Linked DNA regions of Drosophila melanogaster. The protein of the gene in region 1 interacts with the protein of each later gene in a pairwise test. Each region holds a gene or a part of one and is shown in the gene's direction. Other genes may lie near its edges.

Evidence for each region. Proteins that work in one complex are often made in the same cells at the same time.
Region 2: the proteins of CG15109 (region 1) and stw interact in a two-hybrid assay, tested with the Drosophila melanogaster proteins (one large-scale study listed by BioGRID).
Region 3: the proteins of CG15109 (region 1) and RhoBTB interact in a two-hybrid assay, tested with the Drosophila melanogaster proteins (one large-scale study listed by BioGRID).

What each region holds. Positions count from the first base shown.
Region 1 is NT_033778.4:19,056,365-19,063,887, forward strand, and holds CG15109 (uncharacterized protein), read left to right. Parts: upstream 1-3,056; 5' UTR 3,057-3,122; intron 3,123-3,231; 5' UTR 3,232-3,254; coding exon 3,255-3,279; exon of another isoform or gene 3,280-3,370; coding exon 3,371-4,515; 3' UTR 4,516-4,701; downstream 4,702-7,523.
Region 2 is NT_033778.4:5,411,945-5,418,665, forward strand, and holds the start of stw (straw), read left to right. Parts: upstream 1-1,799; 5' UTR 1,800-2,007; coding exon 2,008-2,137; intron 2,138-4,151; exon of another isoform or gene 4,152-4,448; coding exon of another isoform or gene 4,449-4,473; intron 4,474-6,721.
Region 3 is NT_037436.4:20,374,732-20,384,163, forward strand, and holds RhoBTB (Rho-related BTB domain containing), read left to right. Parts: upstream 1-1,510; 5' UTR 1,511-1,870; intron 1,871-3,010; exon of another isoform or gene 3,011-3,108; intron 3,109-3,699; 5' UTR 3,700-3,728; coding exon 3,729-3,917; intron 3,918-3,980; coding exon 3,981-4,084; intron 4,085-4,150; coding exon 4,151-4,348; intron 4,349-4,580; coding exon 4,581-5,117; intron 5,118-5,179; coding exon 5,180-5,438; intron 5,439-5,503; coding exon 5,504-5,617; intron 5,618-5,681; coding exon 5,682-5,768; intron 5,769-5,838; coding exon 5,839-5,922; intron 5,923-5,983; coding exon 5,984-6,226; intron 6,227-6,290; coding exon 6,291-6,561; intron 6,562-6,815; coding exon 6,816-6,967; coding exon of another isoform or gene 6,968-6,990; intron 6,991-7,060; coding exon of another isoform or gene 7,061-7,151; 3' UTR 7,152-7,667; downstream 7,668-9,432. Other genes in the region: Ide (insulin degrading metalloproteinase), read right to left, coding at 1-112, 168-438, 496-630, 689-756; CG5498 (uncharacterized protein), read right to left, coding at 7,764-8,209, 8,279-8,488, 8,550-8,769, 8,822-9,292.

The sequences.
Region 1 (7,523 bases):
TTTCCGTTTGCCCTGTCCATATGTGTGTGTGTGTGTGTGTGTGTGGGCTTGGTGATTTCGGCCTATTTGTATACAAAAGGCAGTCAATTTCTGCCAGCTTGAGGAAACTTTTTAAGTCAATTGTCAAAAAGTTCTTAACATCTTTTCCCCAGCCACGCCCCACTTTTGTGGACTCGGTATGGCTCTGTTTCTGTTTCATTTTCGCTGCCAAAATTGAAATATAATTCGGTAAAGTTGCGCCTCTTTTCGGTTCGGCTTTTCCACTTAGACGACGTTTGGATTTGGGCCATAAATCAATGCCAGGCGAAAGGCGTTCGACTGAAATTGATTTAGAATGCGTGGAATGGGCGTAACTTCTTACGGTCGTCAGTCAAGCTTCTGCACTAAAAACAGTCCGAAATGCCAGTGCATTTTATAGTTTGGCTGCAAATCACTTTTCAAACTCTTTGACACGCAGAAAAATATGTCACACTTTCATAAAGCTAAGAAGGAAAAGGCATGATATATTTTAAAACCTATGTAAACAGAATTATATGGCATTATTAAATGCAAAAACAAGAAGACTATTTACTTTAACGATTTTTTCCCATTAGAAAAATATATCCAACTTAACTCACAGAAGAAAGCACCTTTAATAGATCACAGCTGAAATTGTGATTATCATAAAATCAGCATAGAATGATTGCCAACCGGTTTTATAGCAATAACCAGCGATTATGCTAAAAGACATCTCCGTCAGACTCGAAGTCAAATCCATCGAGCATCCAAGATGATCAACTATAGCGGTTTTGCATATTTGATGCACTTGGCATAAACTTAATAAACTTTGCCCCCAGTTACAGGTTATAAACCCGGCGCACCAAACTCGTAAAGATGGAAGCGCGTTAAAGTCACTGAGCCACAACTCGTTGTTTTATGACCAACTCGATGAACTTGCCGCTCCCCCCGTTTGCCATTTCCATCTGGTTTTGTCTAAGCATCTGCCATCATTCTGGCTTTTGTTGCACCATTTTTCACTATTAACAGTAGCCATAAAAGTAGCGTTTGCGCCAATAAAACTTTTGACATGTGGGGCAGGAGGGTTTCCTTAACGTTTTTTTTTCTTACTTCTAGCCGGGCCAGGTGTTACCTTCAACCTTTGCACCTGAGCTTCTCCAGTTGCGTCTGCTGGTCCTGCATCTCCACTTGTCATTTGCCACTGTGGCCCCAGCTACTTGCTACTTGCCACTTGCGCATTTAATTAAGTTTACGCCGCGCTGCACACGCAAAAGGACGAAGGACGTTATTAATTAAATTCCTTTATACACAGGTTAAGCCAGCCATCCCCTCCACCACCTTTCGCCTTTGTGTGTCAACAATTGGAATATTAACGAGGCAACTAATGAAAGTTTACAAAGCCGGAGTCTTTTCCGCCGAAACAAATCGAAAGGGAAACATTTAATAAAAGTCGCACTCACCGATTTTCCGCCCGAGATCAAAGCAATTGCTAGACCAGTTCCCCTAGCACCACTTGACCCACACGGCGGATGCGTGATTTTCGCTACCAATTATAGTGGATCGTCTTGGGAGCCTTTTTGCAGTGTCTGCGTGCAAATCCCGCCGCGTTGATGCACTGCGGCAAAGGTTTCGGACCCCTAATAAGCCACGACCTTAACGGACTCACACATCAAAGCAAGAGCACGCACACCCACTTACACACTGGCTTATAAGCCCCAGACACGCAGACATATGCAAAAAGGATATGTATTAACTGTACGCATTTAAGCCGCTTGTCGAACGCGCACAAATCCAGAAGGGGAAAATCGACTTTTATTCAATACACTCGAAAAATCAACTTTGGCAGATAAAAAACGAGAAGATGAAAACGAGACAGCAGGATGGACCGGAAAAACGGGGTTTTCGAGGAGTGGGGCTACAATATGCGAGTATAAATGTGCAAATCCCCAATGCAGCAACAGCTGCTGCTCAGCCACGCCCCCTTTCGACCCCCCTCCCCGCCTTCAGTGCACTCGTTTGGCATTTACATTTAAGCTGATAAGGAAAAGTGCCTGCTCCTCGGGGTCCCTTGGTTTACCGCCTCCTGCACCCCAAAATCCACCTGAGCGCCAAGTCGCCTCGAAGGGCGCACACACACACACACACACAAGCACATCGAAGACGGCGATGAGAATTGTTTGTTGAAAATGTCGCCAGTTTATGAAATCGCGTGCGTTGGCAGCAAGGAATTCACATTTGACGCACGCACTTTACATTATTAATGCCTAAAGACGAAGGCGGCAGAAACAAGTTCAAGTTTTAGGCTAAAAAAACGGGAATCGAGAAAGAAATACCCTTTTGAAAGTAACCAAAATTCATTTGATATATAACACAAAAGAAGATATAGTTGTTACATTTTGAACAAATGGGAAATTATAGTTTAAGTCAATAAGTCAATCCATGCAGATTCATAACCTATATTTCATATCTTCGATAATTCTTATATACCTTTTATATCAAAAGTTACATGGAGTAGGTGAGTAGTGCTGTGTGCGTGCTTGTGTGCGTAGAGAAGCATCGATGTTTTGGAAAATGCTCCTGCCATTTCGCAAATGTATCGCATTTCCGTTTGGGTGTTTGCACTTTTACGCTTCGCTGAGAATTTTCCAATTTTTGCTGCTAATATTTATTAATCAAGTAATAGCTACTCACACGCAGGCACACACTACGTGTATGAACACTTGAGCTTGTGCCTGTGTGTGAGTGTGAGGTCGCTTGATTTTTGCACGAAAAATTGATTGGAAATTTATAAGCTAAACTTTTTCCACTGTTTGCTTTTGTTTGCGGCCCACGAAACAAACTTTTTTGGTGTGCGCGGTTGTGTTTTGTTACTTTTTTTTTTGTTTTTGTACCATTGCTGCCATTTGCAGCACTTGAAAAGGTCGCCACAAATGGAAGTGAGTGTGTGTGGAAAATCCCCATCAGAAAAATATTGAAATTCGATTTTTTTTTTCGTACTCTCAGTAACCTTTTACCAGGTCCCCAGCTGTCTGTCAAAGCCTCGCCATGAGGCAGGAAGCATTTCGAATTATTTTCAGTACAAACTTTGTGCCGAGCACACCTAGAACCCACTCCAATCAAATAAAGTAAGTTCAAATTGTAACTATTCTGGTGGAAAAAAATCTACAATAAATATTCAACTCTGAGAATATTTGTGGTCACTTTTCACTTTTTCAACTCAACTGTCTTCCACAGCGCTGCCTATCATGCAATACAAGATGAACTACTTGCTGATCCTTGGGTGTAAGTATACGTTAGTTTTCAGTACCATCTAGCATGCAATTATTTATAATTAATTGCGTGTATTTCAAACGCATCCATTGTTTTGCTTAAGGTGTCCTCATGTTGATGCGGCCGATGTACGGCGATTGTCTGCGCATGAAGCGTTCTCAAGGCGATACTGCAAGTGATTATAATGAAACCACTACAATGGACAATACTGCTTCACTGAGCGGAAAAGCCACCGTGTTGGCCAATAGTACCATTACCACCGCTAACATGACTGAAGCCGCCACATCTCCGGAGCAGAAGATTACTGCTGGACCGGTGCGCAGTATGGGAGTTCGTGGAAAAACCACTAGCTCCACAACCACCACCGCATTATCATCATCACTTGCTGCTGTGGCATCCACATCCTCGCCTCCGGATGCCGGAAAATTTCAGCTAGTGGAGGATCTGCTGGGACTGCGCCGTCCCAAGAGGCGTTTGGGTAGCCTGATGGACGACAGTCTGCAGCCACGACAATTGCACCACAAGCGTCGCCCAGCGGTGGAAGCTGCTGCTATGGCCACCTCATTGCCACCCAACCCTAATCCCAATCTTAATCCCAATCCCAATCCCAATTCCAATCCCTACGTGTACTACAACAAGCTGGTTTCGCCAGATGGCAAGCACGAGATAAAGGAGTTCGAGCTGCTGGCGCCCAACATGATGATTGAGAGTGTGCAGCAGGAGCTGAACTACGGTCCGGAAGTTCTGCCACCGGAATTGGCCGGAGTGCTACTGCTGAATGCAGCCGAGAACACTCCACGCGGACTTCATAATGCAGCACCACTGAAGCACCATCGCAAGCATAAATCCTCGCCGGCTGTGCCACCGATGCTCTACATGCTGCAACAGCTGTTGCAGCCCAATTTCGAGGGAAATCTCTTGCTGGAACCACCAAAGGAGCCACAGCGTCACGTTAGTTCACCCCTCTATCAATTCCTTGATGGCGCCATGGATCTGGCTTTGCGCAACAATCCCGATGTCATCGATCACCTGCTGGGCGATCACCTAGAATTGGAGCTGGAGATGGAAAAAAAGAAGGGCATCAAGGATAAGGCACTAACGAAGAAGGCCAAGAAGGAGGCACAGAAGATGGAACCCAAGGAGGAGCTCATCGTCAGCTGTCCCATTCACCATGAGCACCATGCCAATCGTAATGGCGACGTGGTCGAAGATGATGTCGTTTTGGTGAACGAGTGCCATCTAGTGTGAACCTGAAACGGGCAGCTGTCACAATGTTTCTTAAAAATTTTAGGTTACTTGTTTTTCCGCATTCTTTTTTTTATTTTTTGTTGCTTCAACTGGAAGATGTTTATATTTCTTGCATATGTAAGGAGTGGCGAGACCATTTTTACTTTGTATACAAAAAACAGACAATAAAAACTAAATACACATCATAATAACTATGTTCAGCGGAAGAATATAAAAAATCAAGCTCGAAAGTTGCAATATAATCCTTCGGGAATGCCATCATCGAGCAGAATGGCCATTGTTCCGCCCGTAACAAATATCAAACTTACGCTCCAATCGACACCCGATCCCCTGGGTGGCCTTCTCCTTGAAGTTCTCCTTCGTTTTCATTAACAAAATCGATTTCCTACCTTGAAATGTCCTGAGGGGAGAGGTGGATGAGCGGGAAAATTGATATGCCGAGTGCGACAGTGCAGCCAAACGAGCAAACAAATCTAACATACAAACCCTTGACTGCGGATGAGAATATATCCTCCATTTATAGCAATACATGTGTGTGTGTGTATGGGTGTAGGGGTGGGACATAGCGAACGGAGCCGAAAGGCAAAAGTTTTGCCGGCTGCCACTGCTAAATGCTGCTAATTTCGTATACAATAAAACTAATGTAAATTGCCACTTGACGTTCACTGGGCGTGTAAGTGTGTGCCATAGTATGTGCAAGTGTACTGGCTGCACATACATAGACATTAAATGGGGCACATAATGTGCCGGGAGTCAGGAATCGAGAATCAGAATTCAGGCTTCAGGACTGGGAACACCAGGGAAAGGCAAGCCATTGAAATAGCGAGTGTCATGGGTGCCTGGCCATCAGCATAAATACAAATTTGCTTCACAAATCCACGTATATAATCTATATAAACTGCACTAGATGCCAGCAGTACATCTACATGTGCCAAGCGGAAAAGTGCAACGCAGCATTCGTAAAATTGCGTAGCTCCTTCGACTTCAAGATACATTTGGAAAAATAGAAAGAATGGAATAAGATTGCACAATAATTATATTTGGAGAGTGGTATAAAGATTTAATTATTTAATTAAATATTTATAGTGTTTCATACGTTAACAGACATAAAAATATAATAATTAAAGGACGTACTTGCTTATTTCTAGGAATTTAACATTTATATAATAATTTCTAGTACACTCAAAAAATATCTTATATTTGTTATAGATATAAAAGTAAGGCAAACATTATTTCTCTCTCTGTGGTGGCACTGCCAATGTCCCTGGGGTGTTAACTGGAGTGTAAATGCGAATGTATGTGCAATTCCCGCTGCTAAGTGACCAGGCCCCCTCCAACATAGACCCTCGCACACATATATATTTATTTACAAGTGTAAATAATAAATGCTTGCATCAGCCATTCCGCATTCCACTCAACTCCAAGGTCCTGTCAGCACTGCAAGTGCATTAACTTTTGCCACACTTTCGTCACCAATGCCATTTTCGCTTTAAGTTGACATCTGCGTAAATAGCTTTAAGTTGCGTACAATACAAATATAAATATAAATATAAATATAAATTTCGAGAAAGGCAGGCGGCGACCACTTTCGCTAATCTCTTTGCTTTTGAAATTTATGGCTTCATTATGAGGATGACAAAGACGAGCGTTGCCAGGACATTGCCAGGACTCTTCTGTCAGTCACTCGCTCTGTCTGGCTGTCGGTCTTTCGGTGCCTTTGTTGTTAATGTTATGGTTGTCATTTGGAAGCTTGTAATTACGTTAGCCACAAGTTGTTGCCAAAAGTTGTAATCTAGATTTCATAGTCAAAAGGCGACAGGCAACAACATAAAATTCAATTGAACTGTTGAGTCAGCAAATATCAAATGAATGGCAATGGTGCCTTTAAAATGCCGTTAAAGTCATGGCCCAAGTATCAGGAATCTGCTCAGTAATATATATAAACATTTTTTGGACAACTAAGGGAAAACTTTTCGCAAATAACCAGCAAATAAATTGCTGAATATAAATTGCAAAATCAGTTTTGCTGCTTTTAAGCTCACTCTGGCATTATCAATTTTAAACGAAAAGTGTTTTACTTAACTGGTTTGGCGTTTTTAAAGTGGTTTAATGGTAATTCGATAACCATAATTTGTATGCTAATAAATACAGCAATTGCTGTTAGGTAAAATCAGTTTGGTAATACTTAAATTTGAATGCAAGTGAAATACATTTAAAATTGTTTTTATTGAAATTAAGTATGTTAAATTGGTGTACAGATTGTTGTTTGTGTAAATTGATTTTTTAAATCAATTTTAACATCTTTTAAATATGGTTAGTGTTGCTTAGTTACGCAGTAGTTTTTGTTGTTTTATATATTTCTGAAGAACCTATTATTAACGTAAATATGTGTGTTGTAGGTAGTGTTATTTTTCAAACACCCTGCAATTGTGTACACATTGTTAATATACATTACCTCACTCAATTCATTAAAAATAAATTAATCAACTTATTAACCACTTGGCTTTACGTTAAAGTCAAACGTTGAACTTTGCAGTGCGGCTCAAAAAGGCGGTTATTTTATTTTCGCCCTATTGCCTTTTGCGGCTATCATACATGGCGTATGCGACATGTGACAACAGAATTATGCAAATTTCAGTGTCACCTTCAATTGCATACCAACCGCACGCACACCGCAAAAAAAAAACACATGGACGAAAGGATACAAAGCCAACTGGCAGGAAAAATGGGTGAAAAAATGTTGATTATTTCGCTTGACGAAGGATTGTCGATAAAATGCCGAGCGATGCAGAATGCAGACGTTTCGCAATGAAAACGCTGTGAAAATCAATAAACAAATAAACAACGGCGCGTACAAGTGAGAGCATACATCAAAGCGGCTTAAATGCAAGAAAACTCTATTTAAATTGTCAACAACAGCGAGTCGACGAGGCGTTGTCTAAAGTTATGGCTAAAAGGGAATGAGGTGGTTGAGGCTGGTGAGGTGCACCGTAGATGTATCCTTTAAA
Region 2 (6,721 bases), about 14 Mb from region 1:
TCTCATCTGACCACAAAATGTTGCGCCACTTCTCCACAGGCCAGTCCTTGTGTATCTTGGCATATTCGAGTCGCTTTGCCACATGCTTAACAGTCAAAAGCGGGACTTTTCTGGGACTGCACGCATTAAGGTTGTTTTGTCTTAAGCGTTTGCGAACTGTTTCCACGCTTGCAGCTATCTGAAGCTCCTTCTTCAGTTCCGTCGCCGGCTTAAAAGGCTCCTTCTTGCTTTGCCGAACCAAGCGCTTGATCTCCACGTTGGACATTGAGGGCTTTCTTCCACGTGTTTCGTCCTTTTCGACAAACAGCATTGTGGATCATTTTGTTTGAACACCCGACAATTCGACCAATTTCAGCGTAGGTTTTACATTCAGAGATCATGTTTTTAATCAAATTTCTTTTTTCGACGGTACAATGCTTTTCGCGACCCATAACTAGAGAATTTTTGGTCTTCGTTTGGAACAAATTCAATTAAAACCTTTAATACAACTCCTTTTTTCAAAATTTGTCGAAAAAAATCCCAAATCACTCCTATTAATTTTATTCAACAAATACGTGGTCAGTGCTATTTTTGTTACCGTCTCATTTCGCGCGCTTTTGCAGCAAGTGCCCAAAAACAAAAAGAACCGTTACATTGAGAGAGTAAAAATTTCTTGCTCAGAGAGCCAACATATGGAACTTATTATTCATGAAATCTGACTTAAAAAAAAATAAACATTTTATAATTTTTTTTTAGCAAATCAACTTTCCATCTGCAGTAGTGCTATTATTTTAACCGCAGCTGTATGTACATATGCATACATATTCATATATTTAGTATCGTATATTATGTATAATTATAAATCTATGTGCTTCCTCTTCTATTTTATACATATACATTCTTACCTATTAATTATATACTTTGGAAGTCGGAACGAAAACGATATAACCATTGGAATAATCAAAACAAAACATAACAAAATATGTTCCATTTCTTGTTTATAATTTTAAAGTGCCGTTATTCACTTTAAAACACTTTTTGATAACATATGTTTTTGGTTCTTATTTGATAAGCATCCACTGTATCAATTATTTAAAAATATTACAGAGAAAATTATAATTTTGTTGTATTTGATCATAAATTGTTCTTATTCTTTTTATAAAAAAAAATGAAACATGCATTCATCTCCAACGACTAACTAGCTTTAATATTCTACGTATGTATTTATATTTACACTTTCGGTGCGCTATTTTATTTAGCATTTTATGTTTGTAGTCATGTGTTGCATACCTCTTAGTTTCGTCAATTCTTTTCAATTGATTTTTGTACACATGTCATTTGTTTATAATAGTAGTAATACTTTAAACAAGTATATTATAACGTGTTTAAGAATTTGCATATATGTGCTGACTTTTTGAAGGTGCCCTATACATATGTAAACCTTTAATAAGTAAAAGTAAAAGCTACATGCAAAAATCTCAGCACAGCACTTTAGTATTCATTTATTTGAGATCTATTTGTCTGAACTTTAAAACATTCCCTTCATATGATTTAGGCAACAACAATACAATAAAGATCCGTTATATTTCGTTTCATTTTCTTTTTCTATGCTTTGGTAAAGCTTTTGTGAGGTTGCGGCAGCTCTAGACTCGACCAACTTGCTCTGAGATCGTGATCAAGTTGGCTGCTGCAATTTCTTGCGCTCTCTGAGCCATGTCATGATTCACTGAGCCATTCCTTTCCCTGGCTCATTCGTAAGCTCGTTTTGCAGTAACTTTTCTACTTAAACATTTTATATAGTCGTACGTATGTAGCTACCGCTTCAGTTTGGTGCTTAAACGCGTTGCTCGTACTTCATTAAGCCGTAATCAATTCAGGTGGTGTTGCTATTGCTTAGTACACATACTTTAAAAATATATAGTCTTATGTTGTGAACATCCACCCAAAGTATTGTTAAATAGCTTAAAGGAATTAATAAAAATACAAGAAGAATAGTGAAAAATAAAATTATACGCCATTCATACAACTATGAAAGCCATGGATCTTAACGGATTTTACCAAACTTTTATTTCGTTCCTGATATGGGGTGCATTTTCCAATTTTCCTGAAGTATTTGCAGTACGTGTTGCCAACTCACAGCAAAATCAACCTAAGAAAGGTAAGGAAATCCCATCTTGGTAATTTTTTTCACCTAAGAAGTCTTGAAATATCATTTTGTGATTTGTCGACAGTACATATTCCTTTCATTAAAATGATTATTTAAGTGCAATACGTATATACTCGTATACATCTAAACATGACTATATTTCCAAGGGGTGTTCCAAAGATTTGGGGGATCTTTTGGGTATCTTTACTGTAAATTAATTGGAATGTTTTGCAGGACAAAACGTTGTTTTGCCACACTTGCTTTCCGTTATCGTTTTCATAAGAATATATATATTAGAATTATAGGTTGATTATTTGGCCAACCATATATTATATGGATCAAAACATTTTAAAACTTAAATACCGTCTTTACCTATTCAACCCATACGAAGTAGAATAGTAAAATTATACACAATTAAATACATATGTATGTGCAAATAAAGTGAAAGGGAATAAATATTCAAACTAAAGAAAAATTGAATGGTTTAGGAGAAAGAGCAGTGCAAGTCTACAGATTTAGGGAACTGGCCATATTGGACCCAATGTAGATAGATAAACGTACTTTCTAAAATTTTCCCATACGACGGGCTGGAATGGAAAATTGCCTACACTTTAGGTAAAATTTTCGAAACAAACAAACTACAATATTAATCGCTCTTTTCTATATTTCTTATACCACAAAATTTTGCTTGTATCTGACATTATTTTTGTTATTTATTAAAACTTTTTTTATTTAAATTGCCTTTTTCATCAATATATATTAAAGTTAACAAATTTATAAAGAAATCAAAATATTTAGCCTTCATAAGCTTACACTGGTTTAGCCTACCACTTACTTTGCGCAATAATGTTATACTTTTTTAATTTTACTGATAATGGTATTTCTTCAACTTTTTAATTGCTGAATCGCTGACCTTGTCAGATGTTAGCATGCTACTCCCTACAAATTACGAAAGTGCGAACACTTCAACAAGCTTCAAACTTTTAAATCGTTGAAACCCCGATAATAAGAAAACTCTGTAAGATTAAAGTAAAACAACAGGATTTATTTACTTCGGTCTTAAATTGGAAAGCATTAAAAAAACATATTAAGATCTTTGCTAATAGTTTCTAACTTACTACATATGTACATATGCATGTAACTAAAAGAATTTAACAACCAACATAAATAAAGATATATTAGATAAATACTAGTGATTTCTTTTGTCAGACCATTTAGTAAAAGTTATTTGTAAATTTTTTAGCTGAGAAAGAAAAGTAAGAATTTTTAGACTTTAAGAATAGTGTATAACTATTTTGAGTGAGTCTTAAAAATTTTTTTTTTGCAATTTTCATGGAAAATAATATCAGCAGATATGTATGTATGTTCGGATAATAATATTCGCAGATTTATGTACGTTTGTCATGAAAGTTGACTCCTGTTTTCAATTCGGAGGTCGTCATTTCCATCATTTTTTGGTATGATCTCTTAAAAACTATTCCATAGTTTTTTGTAACCGATTGTAATTTTTATTAATTCACAAAAATAATCTATGCTTCATTGCTTTTCGATTTAGAATACACACCAGATAAAAAAAGAGATATCCGAAACGCACTTGAAAAAAGTTTTTTCGCTTTCAATCGAAATTTTGTTTTGAATTTTAATCTACACATCTTTTAGAAGCTGTGTTAGCGATTTATGTCATTAATCAAACACACGTTTTAAGTGTTGAAATCCAATTTTAGCAATAATATGTCAAAAATGAAACTCAGGAAGGTGATCGAATTTTTGACCCTTTTTCAAAAATACATGTACATAACTTCCTAAAATGAAAAGCCAGTTCAATTTATTGTATATGTATTGTATTGTATATGATTGAAATGAGGTGATCACAATGATTTTGTGCATTACACTTGGAGTTAGGCTTGTGATTTGTTGAAAAGGGTGAAAGGGAAAGTCTAGCCTTAGACTACGTCATTAAAACTCATTGTTTGCAGTTTATGTTTATATAAATATATTATATTTAATGCGGTTTTTACTTTTTATAAATTATTTTTCTGTCATTTATATCTTTATTTGCCTACGTTACACTTACTAATACTCTTAATTATTTGTGGTATGGTCGACAAAAATTAACCTAGCTGGTGGTCGCGCCTTTAAGTTTCTTAAGTTACTTTGAAGAACAATGTCCGCCATCCATTTGCGCCTCGCTCTCTCTCATAGCTGACCAAAGGACTTGTTGACATACGCGACATATCTAGAAGCTGGTTGTGATATTTTAGGAATACATGCATACGTTATTATTTCGAAATTTTCTAACGGATAAACGGGTATTTGATAGTTGATGTACTCGTTTTTTGATCATTCAAGTATGTGCAGATATGATTTGAATATACATAAATTATAGTATAATTTGGTATCTTCCTTAATTAACATTTTTCTAAGTGGTCCTTAACCAATAAATACAAATGTTTTATTTGAAATGAATGCAACATCAAAATACAAATTTATTAAGCTTAAAACCGGTCTGCAAGGGGTATTAAATGGTGCAGCCTTAAATTATAACTGATTCAAGGTGACTTCAAACTGAAAATTTGTGTATGTATGTACGGGCACCCAAACATATTTATTCAATGTTAAAGACAATACAATGGTATTACATTACTAAACTTTAACTTGCAAAACAGAAATGCTTTTTTTAATCAACACATTTTTTTTGTAATGTTATCGTTGCTGAAAATATGATAAAGTTGTTAGGTAAACCCATGCTAGTCATCTCTCTATTTCCATGAATACAAACTAACAGAGTAACATACATATGTGACACGTACGGAATGTGGGACTGGTTTCCGATTGCATTTATACAGTCCCAATATATACATACCTACAAACATATGAATGTACGTATGTATACTATATAAATATGTATGTCCGTTAGTGCAAATGTTTCGAAATAACGTAATTGATTACACTAGCGTACAAAATAAATTGTATAAATAATTTCAAATGGATCTCACAATGTAGAGTGACACATTTTTATGAACCCTATTAAAGAGTTTTTAGAAATGCAAGTTCTATTTCCGCAGTATACCCTTTTACCTTCTCTAAACCGTTCCATATATCCATCCATATCCATTTTTAAAAACGACCATATCACCAAAGACACTAGAATAATTATTCTGATGTCTTTGATATCACCCCTTTCGAGAAATATAAATAAATAGAGTAATATGTGAATTATTTAAAAATTACCATATTATAGATAGGCTATATTAACAATATTGGGTGCTAGGACCGTTTTGTAAATTGTGAATTACACAAACTCTATATCTTGTTTATATCGTAAATATTTCGAAAATCAGAAAATATGTCTTTCTAAAGTATTTTCAGTTCAGTTAATTAACAAATTTATCATCAATCTTAAGATAATATTTAAGCAAATTTACAAACAATGTGCGTAATTTTATTACCATAAAATTATCAAAATATATTTATAAATTTATTTTAAATATGGTTGCATGTATAGTTGTATGTAGATTTCCCATTGATTTTTAAGTCTATTACGGCTAGAAATTGCGGACCAAATACAACACAAAATAACTCACAAAACAAGACTAAGTTGAGGAGCCAGTTTTCTGGTTTACTTTAAAACTGTGTCTGTAATTCATATATGTATGTGTGCAAAAATATTTAACTGTGTGAAATGTTTATACTATGTATGAAGCTGTCTTTGGAGCCCAACGAAATGGAACAGAAAAACTAGTCGACGACAACAGACAAAAAGCTAATAATTTTGTTGCTTGTGGTCTTTTTAAGCGAGAATAATCAAACAAAAAGCTAAGCTAGAAAAGTTAATCTTGCGTTTGGAACATGTACATATGTTTATTTCAAACTCTTCACTTTAATGGGATTCCAAGATCAGAAAAAGTTAAGAGATAAACAGGAGAGTATTGAAAACGATTGATTAAAAAGTGCATACATACATACAAATGTATGTACAAATTATCATTTTAGTAGATTTTCCATATATTTATTAGCGTAAGTTTATTAATTACAATAGGGCTTGCGCGGTCTGCACTTAATGAGACGAATAGTAAGTACGTGGCGATGACCGACGCTTCTAATCTTCCAAAATCGACTGACTTAAGTATAGCAAGAGTTCTTATCTCTAAAGCTTAACAAGTTACAGTTTCTTATAGGTAAAGCTCGATCTATAGATGGGAAAAGCACTTGAGGCTTACGACTATATTTCGGGTGTTTTGTGATTGTGTTAACTCCTCCCCTTCTAAGACGAAGGCTGTCCACAGACTTTTTACAATTGGCAAATCTATTTGAAAGCGGATCTTACGGGTAACATTGGTTGTGCACTAAGTTCCCATACTGCCAACCTGGTACTGCGTTAAACCATCGAAGGGAAGGCAGCTCTGCGTGTCTGGATGATCCGAGAAGTTCGTAAATGCTGCTGATTCTCCATGTCATGGGTTCGCAACAAGGTTCTGGAGATGATCGTAGCGAACTTGGAAAAAATCTTTATTGTAACCGTCGACTTGTTGACGACGATGATGCTGATGTTGGTTGAACTAGTTGACCATCAAAACGTATGTGTTGAACGCACTC
Region 3 (9,432 bases), on another chromosome or scaffold:
TGTTGCCGCTGCCGAACTTGCTGTAGGCATGGTCAGGCTTTGCCAGGTGGCGGTTCACCTGCTTGATGCGCCACAGATCGCTGGGCAGGTTTTTCTCGTGCTCAGAGTTTACCTGCAATGACAGCGTCCTATTTCTGTCAGAAATTTTAATGAATGCTTTCACATACCGCATTGATTTCCCGCTCAGTTGCACTGGGCGTGAACAAGGGGGCTATGAAGAACTGCGCGAAGCGATCTAAGGCTCCATCTAACTTGTCCGGCGCCACGTGAAAGTGGTACTTGGTCATCAGGGGATAGGTGGCGGCGTTGCTGCTTCCGCCGCTCTGCGAAAGGTATGTGGTGTAGCCATTCTCATGCGGATACTTCTCGGTGCCGAGGAACAGCATGTGCTCGCAAAAGTGGGCCAATCCAGGCAGGTTCGTGGGATCAGACATGTGGCTGCCATGGGTATACTCATTAAAAACAAACATTGAGTGAAGATTTGATCTTATTTACCCCACTTGCACGGACAGCGCTGCCGCCGAGACATCTGTGTTGGGATCGCTGATGAGCAGGACCTTTAGTCCATTTTCTAGTTGCAATCCGCGGTAGTCGCGTGTGTCCTGCAGCGACTTTTCAATGTTGTTCAGCCTATAAACGACGAACCATTGCCTTTCGACGACCTCTAAGATGCGTAACGTGCACTTACCTCAATATGGGCTCCATGCTGTCTGGCTTCCTAGTTGCGGACTTTTGCGAGCTTTCGGCTATTGTCATCTTGGGTTTTATAAGCGTGCCAATCGTTCGATGTGTTACTGAAATGCTGGCCCTCAACGCACTTGACCTGTGCGAAATAAATGCGATTTAGTGGTGCCCGTTAGCGGAAATTTGTTTAATTGCTGCCAACCGTCGACCAAAAACCGCTGTTAAGGCAAAAATCGATTTTCTGCACGTAAGATACATTGAGTTTGTGAAATACTCTTGACGACGCTACTCCGGCTTTACGTAGCGCGCACAAGAAATCTTAGAGTGGGAGGAGTAGATTTCCAAGCCGGTCGGTTACACGTTCAATCAATTTTAATCGCTTTTTGGACCGAAAAATAAATTCTAACTAGTTTCGCAACAACTAAAATAGCAAACAATCATCTGTTCGCAGAGCTGCCAACTCACCGCGCACGCAGAACTAGTTTAATATGTTGCCAGATCGTTTATTTTGTGAGTGGTTCCAGATTTGAAATTCCCAATTGGAGAAATTTTACAAAGTGGTAGGCCATATTTTCAAATACGAAAGACTTAATAAGTTTAAAGTGATGATTTTTAATAGTTCTAATGTAACTTTGGACTAAAGTAAGCTGCATATTCACCTTACCTAGGATAGATGGCGATTTCAAAATGTATTTCAAATGCTTGAAATTTTTCCAACGACCATACAATAAATATTGGGCAACCCTGATAACAGTCATTATAAAAATAAATATTCCGTGAATTCCCGTTCTCCGTCAATCTGGCAGTGCTCCGCGCCCAACCGCCGCCGTTTTCCAACACTGGCCGGTTGCCGTCAAAGCGCGTAGAAGAATTGCGGGCTGTAACTGCAATTTATTATTTTTTAATTTCATTTATAGTGCACCTGGTCAGCGAGCACTGGCTCATCCGCAGCCATCCGTCGGCAACCAGCTCGCAGCGATGTTAAACTTGTGCCAGCCGTAAAGATTTCGCGTGTTTGCGAACCACAAACTGCGTCGCCATCGGTGTGTGGGTGCAGAAATAAATGCAAATTGTTGTAAAATGCCGTGCTTTGGTGTGCGTGTTGATAAGTGCAATACGCAAAAGTAAGAACATTGAGGCAAATCCGTGCAATTCGTGCAATCCGTGGGATCAGGCGTTTTCAGAGGTGAGTGCTGCAGTGCTACGTCCGCGGAGATTTATGAGTTCGGGAATTCTGTGCTCTCCCCTTCGGCCAGCAGTCGAAGAATTAGGTTCTAATCAGGTTTTAATTGTTTACCCACCAACATGCGTTTTCCTCGAGAAAAAGTGCAAGTGTTCAACGATTTTTCTCCCCTAAATGGGTCAAGTTTGCCGGAATGTCGAGTCCGAACTTCAAGATCCCCTCCTAAAAGTCCCTTCTGTGCCTCCTTGTGTGCGAGTCTGAATGTGTGTGTGGTTTGGTAACGGTATTTGTGGCCGTTTTGCAATGGCACGAGAAAATCAATAAGCTGGCAAAATTGAAGAAAGGAGACTTCCCAGACATGGCAAAACAGCGCAGAGTTTGTTAATAATGCTAATATGCTGGCGTGTTCTGCGAATTCTCGCGAATCAAAATGTCTAATTAAACCACAGGTTCACACCTCGCATGAGAAATAAATTGGAACCAGTCCCTAAATAAACTTTGTTTTTATTTCCCAAGATTATGGTTGGTGCAAATATTTTACAATGAAAACTAAGAACATACCTTTTAAAAACTAAAAAATACGATCTTTCCATTTTCAAAATACCTGATATCTTCAAAAACTAACAGTTGTTTACCTTCACAACGTCTTCTTTCTTTGTTTCTTTGTTTTTGCTTCACTTTGCTTAAGACTGGGCACTTAAATAATATATTTTAAAAATATTTCTACAAGGAAATAATAAAAATAAAAACGGTATTTTATAGTAGTTATATCAGACATTAATTTTTCAATATTTGAAGAATATTCTTCCCTCTTTAACCTTCATAAAGTCAATTCAAATGGCTCTAAATAGATTGAACACATAAATTATAGAAAATCAAAGCAAAAGTGGAACCGATTGCCATGTATTCCAGAGGTCAACGATCCACAATATTGACAGTAACTTAAAGTCTTCGCACGAACAAAAGACTTTCCTGTGGAGAACAACGATCGCTTCTGGCGACCACTTGAAGTACTTTCAATTGCATGGTTATTGTTTTGGGTTTAAAGCGCGTCCCAAAATAGACAGACTGCAGCTCGTCGAGAAGATCGGACAATGGATTGCCATGAAGCGTGGGCCACGCAGGAAGAAGTGTGCTCATTGCGACCGGAGGATTGAAGGCAGATATATTTTTAGTGCAGCCCAATTAAGTTCAATTAGAGGTTCAAAGAGAGAGAGCGAGCTTATCGCTCCGTATCCGAGGTACTTACTCCAACTTCCTCCGCGACAAGTGGATCAAGTGGGGGTCAATGAATTGGCTGGTTTTATAGCCTCCGTTTGCGGGATCCAATAGATTTCTAAGTAAATGATACGAAGCTGGTATCTGATTTCACTATAGTTATTTTCACAGTGCGCAGCGAGTAAACAAACAAAATTGCCTATTGGCGTAGATCAGTTATTCTGGCTTTACGTATAACTGAACGTAGAAGTGAATTTTCCCAGTGCGTAGATTATTTCAAACTATGTATTTCTATTTTGGGAAGCACTTAGGTATCTAGATTAAAATCAAATTAATCACGTGATGAAACCATTTTGCCTTCACACAAAACGTTAATGCAGACGACACTTTGTGTAACTTAGTAATTAGCAGGTCGATTGTTAGTCGAGAATTTAGCATCTGCTTATCAGAACTGAAAAACATTAAGGCAGCTATTCTACGTAGTTCACTTATTTATATTAGAAGGGGTGTCAGCAGTTTATTTTATTTTCAATATTTTCATTTATGTATGTTTTCCTCAGGAGAGACCACATTTTATTAAATCACACAAAAATCCAATACTATTTTCATTTCAGATTCCATAAGCTGGTTCTGCTATTTGTGCATGCCCAAAATGGACAACGAGCAGCCGCATCAAGAGCTAGTGAAGTGCGTCCTGGTGGGGGACACGGCCGTGGGCAAGACGCGACTGATCTGCGCGAGGGCCTGCAACAAACACGTCTCGCTATCTCAGCTCCTCTCTACGCACGTGCCGACCGTGTGGGCCATTGACCAGTATCGCATATATAAGGATGTGGGTTACCATTCTCTCAAGAGTCATAGTTATTGCATTTAACCGAATCCATATACATTAAAGGTACTCGAGCGATCATGGGAGGTGGTCGATGGAGTGAATGTCTCACTTCGCCTATGGGACACATTTGGTGACCACGACAAGGATCGGCGCTTCGCATACGGCAGGTGTGTAGAGCTCATGTAGCAGCATTTTCGCCATACGAATCAATAAGATGCCTTCTTGACCTACAGATCCGATGTGGTGCTGCTGTGCTTTTCCATTGCCAGTCCGATTTCCCTGCGCAACTGCAAGATGATGTGGTATCCGGAAATTCGCCGCTTTTGTCCGGATGTTCCCGTCATTCTAGTTGGCTGCAAGAACGACCTGCGCTACATGTATCGCGACGAGAACTATCTCTCGTATTTCGGCGAGAAGGGAACCTTTGTTCGGTATGCATAGCTAGCAGGTTTCAGCCGGTTTTGAGTGGCTTTCACTTTTTAATGTTGTTCTTTAATCAAATCAATTCAATTATTCACCATAATTTAATTATATTTAGAACACACGAAAGATATAATTCAATGTTTAGCCCACTATAGCAAATTAATCTGTTTATATGTTCAGAGATATTCTATTTAATTGGATTAAATTAAAGGCAATCATTACTATAATCTTTTTTTAAAGAGCCGCGTTGAAGAGTGACCTGGTTATGCCGGATGAGGCGCGTGCCGTCGCCAAAGAGCTAGGAGTGGCGTACTACGAGACCAGTGTTTTCACATACTTTGGGGTGAACGAGGTGTTTGAAAACGCCATCCGATCCGCGTTGATTGCACGCCGACAGCAGCGCTTCTGGATGACAAACCTGAAGAAGGTGCAGAAGCCCCTGCTGCAGGCGCCGTTCCGGCCACCGAAGCCACCACCACCGGAGGTCACCGTCATGGTCGGCAACTATCGGCAGGACATCTACAACATGTTCCTGTCGCAGGCCTACACCGACCTCGTCCTGGTCGGGGCGGGTGGCACCAAGTTCGCCGTGCACAGGTTCATGCTAGCCGCCGCGTCCAGCATCTTCCAGCGCCTGCTTAGCACTGAGCTGACTGATATGGGCGGGCGGAGCAGCAGCGAATCTAGCATGGTCAGCTCAACATTCGGGGAGGCCACCATTGCGGACTTTAACGATGACACGGAGGCCCTGATCCGCTACGAATCACGCACACAACGGTGGGTGCTGCCTCCCGATTGCATTGAGCCCATTTGACTTTGAATACATTTTGCACCCACAGAATGTGGGAACACTTGAAGCGCCGCTCCAGCTACCAGGCGTTGCCTCTCATGGAGTCTAAGCGGTCCAACGATTTGTACAGGGAGCTGCATCATCCGGTCCTGCAGAGCATTCGCCTGGTGCACGTGGAAAACCATCGGGGTGTAAATGGTCTGCAGACGATTGTCACCCTTAGCAAACTTATCTCTCCGCAAGCTCTGCACCAGTGCCTGAGATTTATTTATACCGGTACCATTGACAAGGATTGCGATAATATCGAGGTAGGAAATGTTTCAATGTATTCTGTGTTAAGTTTGACCTACTAATATATTGTTAATTCTCACAGGAAATTCGAGAAGCTGCCGATCTATTAGAACTGCCGCAACTGACTCAGCTACTTTCCAGGCCTCAAACCGTTATGGAGAACTCCAGCGATGAGCCAAATCCGCACATTTGCCTGGTGAGCGCATTGATGTCATGATATCTATTTTATGATCCTAACCATTTTCTGTTACATACATTAGCGCATCAAAGAAAGCATGGAACGGCATTGCATTGGTGACGGGTGCTTCAGTGATGTCACCTTTGAATTGGACGATGGCTTAATGAAGGTACATACATATGTCTGTTGAATTACTATATGAAGCACAATCGTTTACACTTACCTTTGCTGCATTGCAGGCACACCGCGCTGTGTTGGTTGGTCGTTGTGATGTCATGCGCGCAATGTTGTTAGGCGACTTTCGCGAGGCTCATTCCAATGTGGTAGGAACGGGCACAATACCCCTTAACTAAGGACAGTTGTCATAAATTTCCTTTACCTTAGATCGTATTCCCTGGCGTTACCATTTACACATTCCACAAGCTGCTGTGCTATTTGTACACAGACCAGATTCCGCCAATCTCGGCCGTCAAGTGCCTCAATCTGCTGGAGCTGGCCAATAGACTCTGCCTGCCGCGGCTGCTCAACCTGGTTGAATGCCGCGTTATTGAAGATCTCACTCTGATTTCTCAGAACGAAACCAATGAAACGGTGGATCACTGTCTAAAGCTGCTCGAGCCAGTGAAGGTACACATAGAGAGATCAGTTAAAAATGATATACCGAAATTCAATACTTTTCTTTTTTTTTCAGCTGCACAACGCACATCAATTGGCCGAGTGGTGCATGTCATACCTGTGCGTCAATTACAACCTTATTTGTAAGTTTTCACTCAAGGGCCTAAAGGCGCTACACCAGGATAATCAGGAGTACTTGCGCGAGCACCGATGGCCTCCAGTCTGGTATCTGAAAGACTATGATTACTATCAGCGATGCCTGAACGAGCTGAACAAGGAGCTTAAGCTAAAGACTTCGAGGCGGGAATCGCCTAGCGATGACGAGGGCTGTCTGTGCTTTACGGGCGGTAAGTGTTGCTACATTTACGGAACTATCTGCTCCACATCCCACCACACTTAACATCCCAGTCCAATACTCCAGTCGGAGGATCAGCTCAGGTTTTAGTTTCAGCTAGCTTTAGAGGACAATGTATGTATCATGACGGCGGTTTGTATTCGTAGCTAGGTGTCTCGTTATTGTTTTCCTTTCCTGTTGATTTCCTTGCTCATTTACAACGACAACGCCATCATCATAATATTAATGTCCGAAATTTGGTCAAAGTATTCTCTTGCTGGCTGTTAGGTAAATCGAAGCGAAGCGCTGATGTGAGTGGAACCACGGATAACAGCAACGCAGATAATCAGATCTTCAACAGCGCCGGCAACTCGCTCAACCACATTGATCTGGAGGCGGACATGGACCTGAATCTCTGACACCCAGCCCTAGGGCAAGGAAGGTGTGTTGATATTAATGTCAAAGTAAGGATTCTTCGATATTTATGATTTACTTCGATACTTTGATTCCAGATCACTGCGCTTCATTGTGATCCTGCCGGTCCTGATCTGTTTTATCTGTACGATTTTAAGTATTTTGATACTTTTCCAAATCCATACATAACAAACCTCAAGGGCACGATTTAGAGTGGTCGGGGAGATAAGGGTTGGAAATGGAGGGGGCGTGGCGCGTCTGCTTTTGACATTACGCAATATATAGAGCGCAAATTTGCCTTAGTGATTAACGATTAATAAGTCCAACGTAGCTCGACCCAGAACAAGGGAGCATACTGCAGAGTGCTTCGGATTTCTTATATTTATACGCCTATATAAAACGCAAAGCATAGACGAGTATGTATGCACATGCACCTCGGCGCTGCGAAGCATTTCGCTGTATTGCCTTACGATATATCGGTGTACACTCAACTTGTTCTGCACGATCCCTCCCATGGAATGTGGACAGCCGAAGGACGCAGACATGTGTATATCCATATATTTGTACCTTTACCTAAGACATGTATGTATGTATATTTTTGAATTCCTACTTACGGAAACATTTGTCTAGCCATAGCTCTAAGCAATTCTCTACGATAAGGACGCATTTTGTACAGAATGATAGAATAAAAAAGCAATTACGAACAAATCTCACGTTTCTTCCTTGTAATAAAAACGCATTTTACAATGTAATAAATTTAGAATTATAACAGTTCACATGCCATTTAAAAAAACACAACATTTATATCGCAGTTTTCACGGATTTTACACTGGATTGCGATACAGTACCATCCTCCACCTCAAGATCCTGCAGCATGGCAATCATCTCCTCGTCCGTAATCACAACCTCCGCCCTTAGGTTGTTATTAATATGTGGACTAAACGTAGCCGGCGCAGATTCTCCAGCCAGTTCACGCAATTCCTGCTCAAGTTGATCATCTTCCTGGCTCGCGTTCTCCACAACGCTATTGGACATTATGTCCTGAACTTCCCGATGCTGGTCGAGCGTGTCCCGCACATCGGCCAATACTTCGTCGACATTGTCGTACTTCAATCCAGAATTCGAGAGAACCTTCTTCAAGGTATTTGATCCGATCTTGTAGGCATCCAGAACAACGCCACTGTTCTGGGCCTCATCCACACTGGACAGAAGAGATTCGATGTTGTGCAGGGCAAGACTGCGACGTTCTAATTAGAGAATTTTCAAAGAACATTATTCACAAAAGCCAGATAAGGGGTGTCTACAATAAAGATTACCATGATTCTTTTCCAGGAGATGCCTTTTTCGTAGATAGGTTTTTGCCATTTGCCGTTTGTTCTCCTTCATGTACTGGCGCACTTTGTCATCGTTCACCTTGATCTCCTCCTCTAGGTCCTCCAACTGCTTGAGTAACTGAGCTTGGGTATTCTGAAGATTGTGGACGGCCTGGTCTTCTTGGCTTATATTAAGATCGTCGCCAGGTTTTTCTATAACAAAAATTATAGTTTAATAATACATACTAACTACTTGAGAACCTTTTAAACTTGCTTGGTATTTTGATCAAGTGAATTTGGCGTATGCCTTTTTCTACTTTAAATTCTAGGCCCAAGATTTGACGAACATTTAAGGCCAACAGGCAAGCGCATAGATCTTTGTCTGAGTAAGTGGGAACTCCGTGAGTCTTACAAAGCGTTTTCAAAGCATTAAAGTGCAGTAGTTTTCCAGTGTTTTCCGACAGGACTTTTTCGGCGATGAGATCGCAAGTGTTCTGGAAAGTTAATTATGTAGGATTCCTATAATCATTGGATGATATCACATACGTTTAAGGCATCTAGGTGAATCCATTCAATTAAAGCGGAGGCTTCCAGGTCCTCCGTCACCACGCTGTGCTTGATTTTCGACCAGCTCCATGAAAGGGGGCGCTTTACCAGGCTGTTGACGAGCCAACCACCCCAGGAATTGGCCGGATCGTACTCAAATTCACTGCGAGAGCGGATCTGCTTCCTCTGCTGCATCTCGGATATCACGGTGTCCAGGCAGGCGGGCAGTTGGTCACCCCTCATGAACAGCAGTTGCAGATCCCGCAGGCTGAAGATTGGTCGTCCGCTGAACTTTAGATATTTTGCAATTAAATCCATCCAGAAATTCATTTTTGCGTCGTAGCCCTCCGCATCCAGATGCCTCGATCGAAACATGGCGAACTGCACCTGCATTCTACCGTTGTCCTGCCAGCTTGCGGGAAAGCTGAAGTGGTCGGTTTCATTTACCCTGTCACCGCTTCCAAGGCCCATATTTAAAACAAGAATTTAATCCGGATCATAAAAATTGCGCGTCTTTTGTGATTGTGTGTTTATGTCGAATCAGCTAGTTTCTGGTGTTGCAAAATGATTGAATGTATACAAAGCTTGTAAACAAATTTTAAAAGGGGCCG